Arabidopsis thaliana: one gene and its partner. The protein of the gene in region 1 purifies or fractionates together with the protein of each later gene. This does not show direct contact. Each region holds a gene or a part of one and is shown on either strand. Other genes may lie near its edges.

Evidence for each region.
Region 2: the proteins of AT1G06790 (region 1) and AT3G28956 fractionate together in Arabidopsis thaliana (co-fractionation; one large-scale study listed by BioGRID). This does not show direct contact.

Annotation. Positions count from the first base shown.
Region 1 is NC_003070.9:2,085,122-2,089,049, forward strand, and holds the start of AT1G06790 (RNA polymerase Rpb7 N-terminal domain-containing protein), read left to right. Parts: upstream 1-2,060; 5' UTR 2,061-2,243; intron 2,244-2,521; 5' UTR 2,522-2,523; coding exon 2,524-2,634; intron 2,635-2,737; coding exon 2,738-2,833; intron 2,834-3,180; coding exon 3,181-3,268; intron 3,269-3,439; coding exon 3,440-3,524; intron 3,525-3,644; coding exon 3,645-3,714; intron 3,715-3,798; coding exon 3,799-3,888; coding exon of another isoform or gene 3,889-3,918; exon of another isoform or gene 3,919-3,928. Other genes in the region: GAUT6 (galacturonosyltransferase 6), read left to right, coding at 104-461, 595-1,116, 1,457-1,732.
Region 2 is NC_003074.8:10,981,134-10,985,061, reverse strand, and holds the start of AT3G28956 (RNA polymerase II, Rpb4, core protein), read left to right. Parts: upstream 1-2,356; 5' UTR 2,357-2,490; intron 2,491-2,641; exon of another isoform or gene 2,642-2,820; 5' UTR 2,821-2,875; intron 2,876-2,876; exon of another isoform or gene 2,877-3,024; intron 3,025-3,468; 5' UTR 3,469-3,592; coding exon 3,593-3,600; exon of another isoform or gene 3,601-3,680; coding exon 3,681-3,798; intron 3,799-3,874; coding exon 3,875-3,928. Other genes in the region: AT3G28960 (Transmembrane amino acid transporter family protein), read left to right, coding at 1-68, 299-817; AT3G28958 (Cupredoxin superfamily protein), read right to left, coding at 1,530-1,627, 1,762-1,887, 1,972-2,149, 2,231-2,356.

The DNA of each region.
Region 1 (3,928 bases):
TGCATTCAGAAATTTGCTGTTACAACTACAACCTTTTAGTGCCAAAAGTCGTGCTGTTTAAGAATATTATTTTAGTAACCTCTGACATGATTGTTTCTTTCAGCGCTCTCCGCAGGGTGAAGCCCATGGAAAATGTGTTATATAAGGCTAGTCGTGTCTTTAACAATTGCCCTGCCATCGCTACCAAACTCCGTGCCATGAATTATAACACAGAAGAACAAGTTCAGGCGCAGAAAAATCAAGCAGCGTATCTAATGCAGCTTGCAGCAAGGACCACCCCAAAAGGGCTTCACTGTCTCTCAATGCGGCTGACATCAGAATACTTTTCACTGGATCCTGAAAAAAGGCAGATGCCTAACCAGCAAAATTATTTTGACGCTAATTTCAATCATTATGTTGTCTTCTCTGACAATGTTTTGGCTTCTTCAGTCGTTGTTAACTCTACGATATCTTCATCAAAGGTATCATGCATTTCTTATACAAATTTCTACTTGGTTATCATTATATGTTATACCTAATTTTAGAGTGTCTTACACTATATCTTCTCATTTACTTCCGCCACTTATTAATGTGGCTTCTGATTGCTGTTTGCAGGAGCCAGAAAGAATAGTCTTCCATGTCGTGACTGATTCACTTAATTACCCAGCAATCTCAATGTGGTTTCTGCTAAACATTCAAAGTAAAGCTACTATCCAAATCCTAAACATTGATGATATGGATGTCCTGCCTAGAGATTATGATCAATTACTGATGAAGCAAAACTCTAATGACCCAAGATTCATTTCTACACTCAATCACGCACGCTTCTATCTCCCGGATATATTCCCGGGTTTGAACAAGATGGTACTCTTGGACCATGATGTAGTTGTTCAAAGAGATTTAAGTAGACTGTGGAGCATTGATATGAAAGGAAAGGTGGTTGGAGCTGTAGAGACTTGTCTTGAAGGTGAATCTTCATTTCGATCAATGAGCACATTTATTAATTTCTCAGACACATGGGTCGCTGGGAAATTTAGTCCTAGAGCTTGCACATGGGCTTTCGGGATGAATCTAATTGATCTCGAAGAATGGAGAATACGGAAGTTGACTTCTACATACATAAAATACTTCAACCTGGTACGCTATATACACACACACACTCTACTGCACTTGCTCTCCCTATGGAAATAACACTGTAGCCATATTCAAAGTTTTCAAATGGGTTCTTAGATTTGTTGATTCGTCATTATATATGAAAAAGATTGTAATAATTATTAGGTTTTAGGTTGGCTATATCGAGGATGAAAGGTTTTGAATTTAGAACACAAATAACATTGCTGTAACTAGCAAAGAACATAAGCAAGCTAGTGCTAAAGATCATCTCCTAGAAGAAGAATGGTTACAAGCAACAACATATCTTGTCTATGTAATGGGCGTAAACCTAACAATGGTTTTGGGGAATTTGTTTTTTTGGCAGGGAACAAAGAGACCATTGTGGAAAGCTGGGAGCTTACCAATAGGTTGGTTGACTTTCTATAGGCAAACATTAGCATTGGACAAGAGATGGCATGTGATGGGGTTAGGTCGCGAATCAGGAGTCAAAGCGGTTGACATCGAACAAGCGGCAGTTATACACTACGATGGGGTCATGAAGCCGTGGTTGGACATTGGAAAAGAGAATTACAAACGTTACTGGAACATACACGTCCCTTACCATCACACCTACTTGCAACAGTGCAATCTTCAAGCTTGATACGAAAAAAAAAAAAAAAAAATCTGGCAACTTAGGTTCAGTTTCAGATTCTTTTTGTTAAACAAGCTACTCAAGCATGATATCAATGTTATGATTAGCTTCATTCTTTATCCCACATCAGTGTATATCTTGGTTCTTCTTTTTTCACACTTTTCATCAGAGCTTAATATTACTTAGACTATAGTGACAGGCTGACAGCAACAGATTGTTGTCATACCTTGGACTTGGCCCAATTTCCTTTTTTGGCCCACCGGTATGAATAAAAAGAGTGCGGTTTTCAGTTCGGTTCGGTTTATAAGCGTAACGATGACAAACCGATCGGTTTGTTTTAATTCTTGACTTTAATAACTAAACCCTAAATCGTTCTTCTTCTTCCGCATCTTCCTCACTCGATTAGTAGGTTCTCTCTTCTTCCAATCTATTCCCAACTTCTCACTTTTCCGTCTAATCGTTGTCTTCATCACCATCTCTCCGAGTTCCCTTCGAGACCATCTTATCTTCAATGGTTTAGGTATTGCCCGATTTTAGATAGTTTTGTTCTCTCGTATAGTTATGACAATGGCAGATTTTTGTACGCTCTGCACATGCTTAATCTTGAGGATTGGGCTATTATTACGTACTATGATTTAATGAATTTTAGATTTGAATTTTGGAACTTTTGATGATATGCATGTTAATGACCAAGAATGCTCCGAATTTGTCTGATTCGTTATTCGAATTCTACTTCTTTGATTGTTTGTTTCCAATTTTCCATGCATCTGACTTGTGAATTTTGAACAAAATTTTCAGAAATGTTTTATCTTAGCGAGCTAGAACATTCACTAAGAGTGCCTCCGCATCTACTTAATCTCCCTCTCGAAGATGCCATTAAGTCAGTGCTTCAAAATGTGTTCTTGGACAAGGTTTGCTCATTGCCCTTTTTCTTTCACTTTTATGGTATCCATTGTTTGCTTATTTATATACACACCTGGCTAATTTTATCAAAGTGGATTTTTGCTATGAAAGGTTTTAGCTGATTTGGGGCTTTGTGTATCTATTTACGACATTAAATCAGTAGAAGGAGGGTTTGTGTTACCCGGTGATGGTGCTGCGACCTATAAGGTATATCCAAATTGCTGATCTTTTCTCATCTCTATTCTTTTATCAGTTGAACATGGTTTTTTATATCAATTTTATGGCCTCCCAATGTCACTGTTAGTGGCATCATTGTTGACCTATCACCGTGTATTGCACACTTTCTGCACTGTATTGAGTTACATCTTTGTAGACTCATCATTACCGTACTAGAGTTTCAAACCATTCTGAGATTTTGGTTCTTCGGAATCGTTATCTGTTAGTCTAACTTTCACTGTACGGTTTTGGTTAAGAATTTTATTTTCAAAAGTTTTATCTTGCCTTGATTCAATATCTCATGTCGTGTTGTTAATACTTTGTTTGTGTGATTGTAGGTAGGTCTTAGAATTGTTGTGTTCCGTCCATTTGTTGGTGAGGTCATAGCTGCAAAGTTCAAAGAATCTGACGCCAATGGCTTGCGCTGTGAGTACTTTATTATACTGTTCCCTGAAGAATTCCAATGTTGTGCACTGTCTGCATCCTGCTACTCTAGTACATTGTTAGCTTATTAGCTACTTATGAATTGGATTAATACTTTGAAATCATGGATATGGTTAATCATTTACATGCTTACGGTACCTCTATACTTGGCAGTAACACTTGGATTCTTTGACGATATTTATGTGCCTGCTCCACTTATGCCGAAACCCAACCGCTGTGAGCCTGACCCTTATAATAGGTAAGAATATGTGTCCTGCAGTTTATGTAGTACTACCAGCTCTCCAACTATGAGTAGGAGATTGCACCAACATCTTTATATATCATTTGATCACAAAGTATAATGTTTTTTGGTTCACAGGAAGCAAATGATATGGGTGTGGGAATATGGAGAACCGAAAGAAGACTATATTGTTGACGATGCCTGTCAGGTGAATTTTTGGTTCCTGCATGTATCTTTAAGCATAATTATCTGAATGTGGTATGTTTTTATAACGAGGCATTGTAAATGGCAGATCAAGTTTCGAGTAGAGAGCATCAGCTATCCATCAGTTCCAACTGAGCGAGCAGAGGACGCAAAGCCTTTTGCTCCAATGGTGGTCACTGTAAGTTCATTCATCAAACTCATTCTCTGAAACTTTTCCA
Region 2 (3,928 bases), on another chromosome or scaffold:
GCTATGGTGCGCATCCAGTTTTGCCCACTTTGTATTCTTCTATGAAAAGCAAACATCAGTTCAACAATGTAAGTCATTTCTATCTAAACCAATCACTACCATTAACCAACAAATCCATGACCCTTTTTCGTCTTTTTTTTTGTCATCCGAAAATAAATTAGGTTTCAAACGAGCCATTCCAGAGTTTTTTTTTTTCTCGTTTGTTTCTGTTTTGTTCGCTTTTCTTATAAGATTTTATTTTCCCCAAGTCTAGTTTATTGAAAATGAATAATGTTAACTTCACTCTTTGTTTGTGCAGGTCCTACTAATATGTTTTATATTATGCACCATAGGATACACATCAATGGCAGTTTTGGGCTACTTAATGTATGGATCACAAACATTATCACAAATAACACTGAATCTTCCAATTCATAAGACGAGTTCGAAGGTGGCAATATACACAACTCTCGTAAACCCGGTAGCCAAATACGCACTGATGATCACACCAACCGTGAACACTATAAAAGATTGGTTTCCTTCACGGTACTCCAAAAAGGCATACTTACATCTCTTGATAAGCACATTTTTCATCATAAGTAGTGTCGTGATCGCCGAGACACTTCCCTTTTTTGGTTATATGATGTCGCTGGTTGGAGCATTATTGAGCGTTACGGTTTCTATACTTCTGCCTTGTTTATGTTACTTGAAGATCTTTGGAAACTACAAGAAAATTGGGTGTGAGACTATAATGTTGTTTGGAATGGTAGTGATGAGTGTTTTTGTTGGGGTAATAGGTACTTACATTGCACTTCGAGATATAATTGGTAGTGTATAAATGTTTTGAGAATTATGAGGGTTGTGTTGTCCTAAATGAAGTTTTTTTAATACCCCAAAAAGTGTTAACTTCAATTCATAAAAGTTCTTCCTTTTAGGTACTTACATTGCAATTTCTAGCTCTATCGAAGTGTTGGAAACATTTGAGTGGTTGGTTTTTTATTTCCATCAAAATCTTTCTTATTTCAGTCTTGCGTTACACTTTACTTAATGTTTTCTTTTGTAAAGCTTCTCAATGCAACATTATAAATTTGGTTTCAATGTTGTTGAAGGCTTAGAACATGAATCTTAAGATGACATTCTTTCACATTATTATGGTAAACACTATGAATTGGTTCCCATATAGCAATAAAGATACTATATATATCGGAAAAAAAAAGAACAAATTCAGTGCCTAAGTCATTGGGATATTAATTACTGATGTTCATACATGTTTATGCTTCAATTATGTTTTAAGGAATCGGAAACCAGATGTAATACTGATTGAATCAAACCAACTCTACAACTATGGGGAAAGAAAAAAATACATTCGAAACAAAAGTATTAAAAACGTTAACAAGAGAAAGAGGCTTTAAATAGCTAAATCTCAAGCCAAACAGAAAGCGAATGCTTAGTGATGAGATTGAGGCCTGTAGGTGTGTAACCATCTGTTGAAGCGGTCCATAAGTGACAATTCCATCTTCGTTGTTGGAACATTGGGGACAGTTATCGGCTTACAGCCTTGGTGAGTGGCCCGACCACGACTTGTAGCTTAAGTCCGGCCTCGCATTAGACAGAAGGCATTCCAAACTCGGACCAGGCAGTGTGGTGGCTCAATTCTATCTGGATCGAGAGAAGTCCACTTTATAGCGCCTCGGTGCGTTCCTACCGAGGCTTACCGGATCAGCCGATAAAGTATATCAACAACAACAAAAAAAAAAAAAAAAGTTCGTGCCTCGGATTGACTTGTCATTGAGGTAATGAAGTAGTGGACTCCTGGTTTGGTGAGCTTCACAAGATCATGCCCTGTCTTGTGCATCGCCACGGGAGAAGTTGGGTCGCATGATATGAATTCAAGGTCTCGGCTGATCTCTAAGATGTCGTTGCCGCATTAAAAAAAAAGATTATCTCCAATATCAAAGTGTCTTTCCTCTGCCCACTTGAAATAAAAATCACTCTCTTGAGAAACACTCCATCCCTTGGAGTCACCAACTTTGTAGATCTTGCTCGGTGGTGGTGGAGGAATGGAACGTGACGGGTCATATTCGACAAGAACGTTATTGTCTGGATGTGCATTGTTCACGGTTTGAGCTGATGAAATAGATATAGTTAGAGCTGTCAAATGGTCATCCGACTATGGGCTAAGCCCAATCCAAAACATTATGGGCAGTCCGTGGTCAGCCCATAAATAAAACGGGTCATGTAGTTTATTGACCAATTTTGTCCGCAGACATAATGGGCGCCCATACGGACAATTGGGTGGCCCAGTTTCATTAAAAATTAGTTTCCTCAGAAATCGCCTCTTTTTGTCTCCTCTCTGTTGCGGCTTCAGAATCGCCATCGGAAGGTTGGACTCATCATCGAGACGGGTCACGAACCGGAGCCCCGTTTAGTTTTCGAACTCGCTACCGATTCCGAGTTGTACGAGCAACAATCATCATCATCGTGTTGCGTGTTTATCCTTTTTGGTCCGAGGTGAATTTCTGAAACAATCTTAGTGTTCTTAGTGTTTCTGAAACAATCTTAGCTTTTTGGATCAGAGGAGAGCTTGCTAGCTTTATCGGTTAATGGATCATATTACCAAGTTAATGTCATTCTCATTAATTTGATAAAAGATACAATTGAGGGTTTATATACAATTGTAAGAGGCCTAAACCATAGCCATTAAACCGAACTAAACCAACACTATCTACACTGGTTTATACAAAATACCAGTTCACAATGACTCACTAAGACTCTAATTACAACAGAGACTCTATATACACTAATAGATTGAGGTCTCACATCTTCTTTGCTTGTTCTTAGGGTCTTCATGAATTGAAGCACATCAATATCTTGGTCGAAAGATTCCCCCTTTCAGGTATGTAGAGACCCTTTGTGTTGAAATCTGAATTTGATTCCATAGAGCTAAGATTCATCACTTTTGATATGGATTTTGGACTCCAAAGAGATTCTGAAATGAATAGGCTCAGTTTTTGTATTGGATTTTCTCAGGTCTCTATCACAAAGGTGCTCATCGATTCCTCTGTTTTTTGTTTTCTTTTGAAATTTTCTTTTATGATCATTGGATTTTGATACCATTCATTACTGATCATTGATCGATGAGTATGATCCTTCAACTTTTGGTTTTTGGGTTTCATCGGATTGATGCTTTTTATCTGAAAGGTTGATGCTTTTGCTCGTACATTAAACAATGCTTTTTATCTGAATTGTATAGTTTTGTGATGTGTATTAGCTTATTTAAGTTTAGTTAAGCTGAAAGCATTAGGATTATTCTACATATGTGTCTGACTTGGATGAATTGTTTTATATGAAGACACTGAAAGTGATGATTATTTCATGATAATCTTGATTAGTAAACGTTATTGATGTTGATGTTCCCATTGCATCATGATTTGTGGGAACGAGAAATCATCTGTTCCTTGATGTTGATGTTCCCTTTGAATTTTTCAGGAGCAAAAACTCTGATTTTGGAGTATCCTTAGTGTTGTTCTCTTCCCATATTGTAAAAACGACTTCGTTTAATTGAAGGAAAAAGCTTCTTTTTGGTTTAAAGTCTCTCTGCTCAACCTAAGAGATGAAAATGTATAATCCATCTTTCATTATGTTTTTGTTCGATTTCCTTCTCTGTTTTTGTAGTCAAAATTTGGTGTGGTTATTTGCAGAATGAAGGCAAATGCAGGAGCACTTACCAATTTCGAGTTGCTTGACTTCTTAAACTCAAGAGGTGCTTCAAAAGATACTACAAGAGTTATTGCTCCAATTGCTAGATCAGAATACAAGGTTCTTTTGCCTGCAATAGTTATCTTCTGACTTGGTCTTAGAGTTTTTTTTGCTAATTGGAATGATCTATTTATAGGTCTATGATTATTTGGTGGAGACTGCTGCTTCCACTCAAACACGAGAGAGCGTT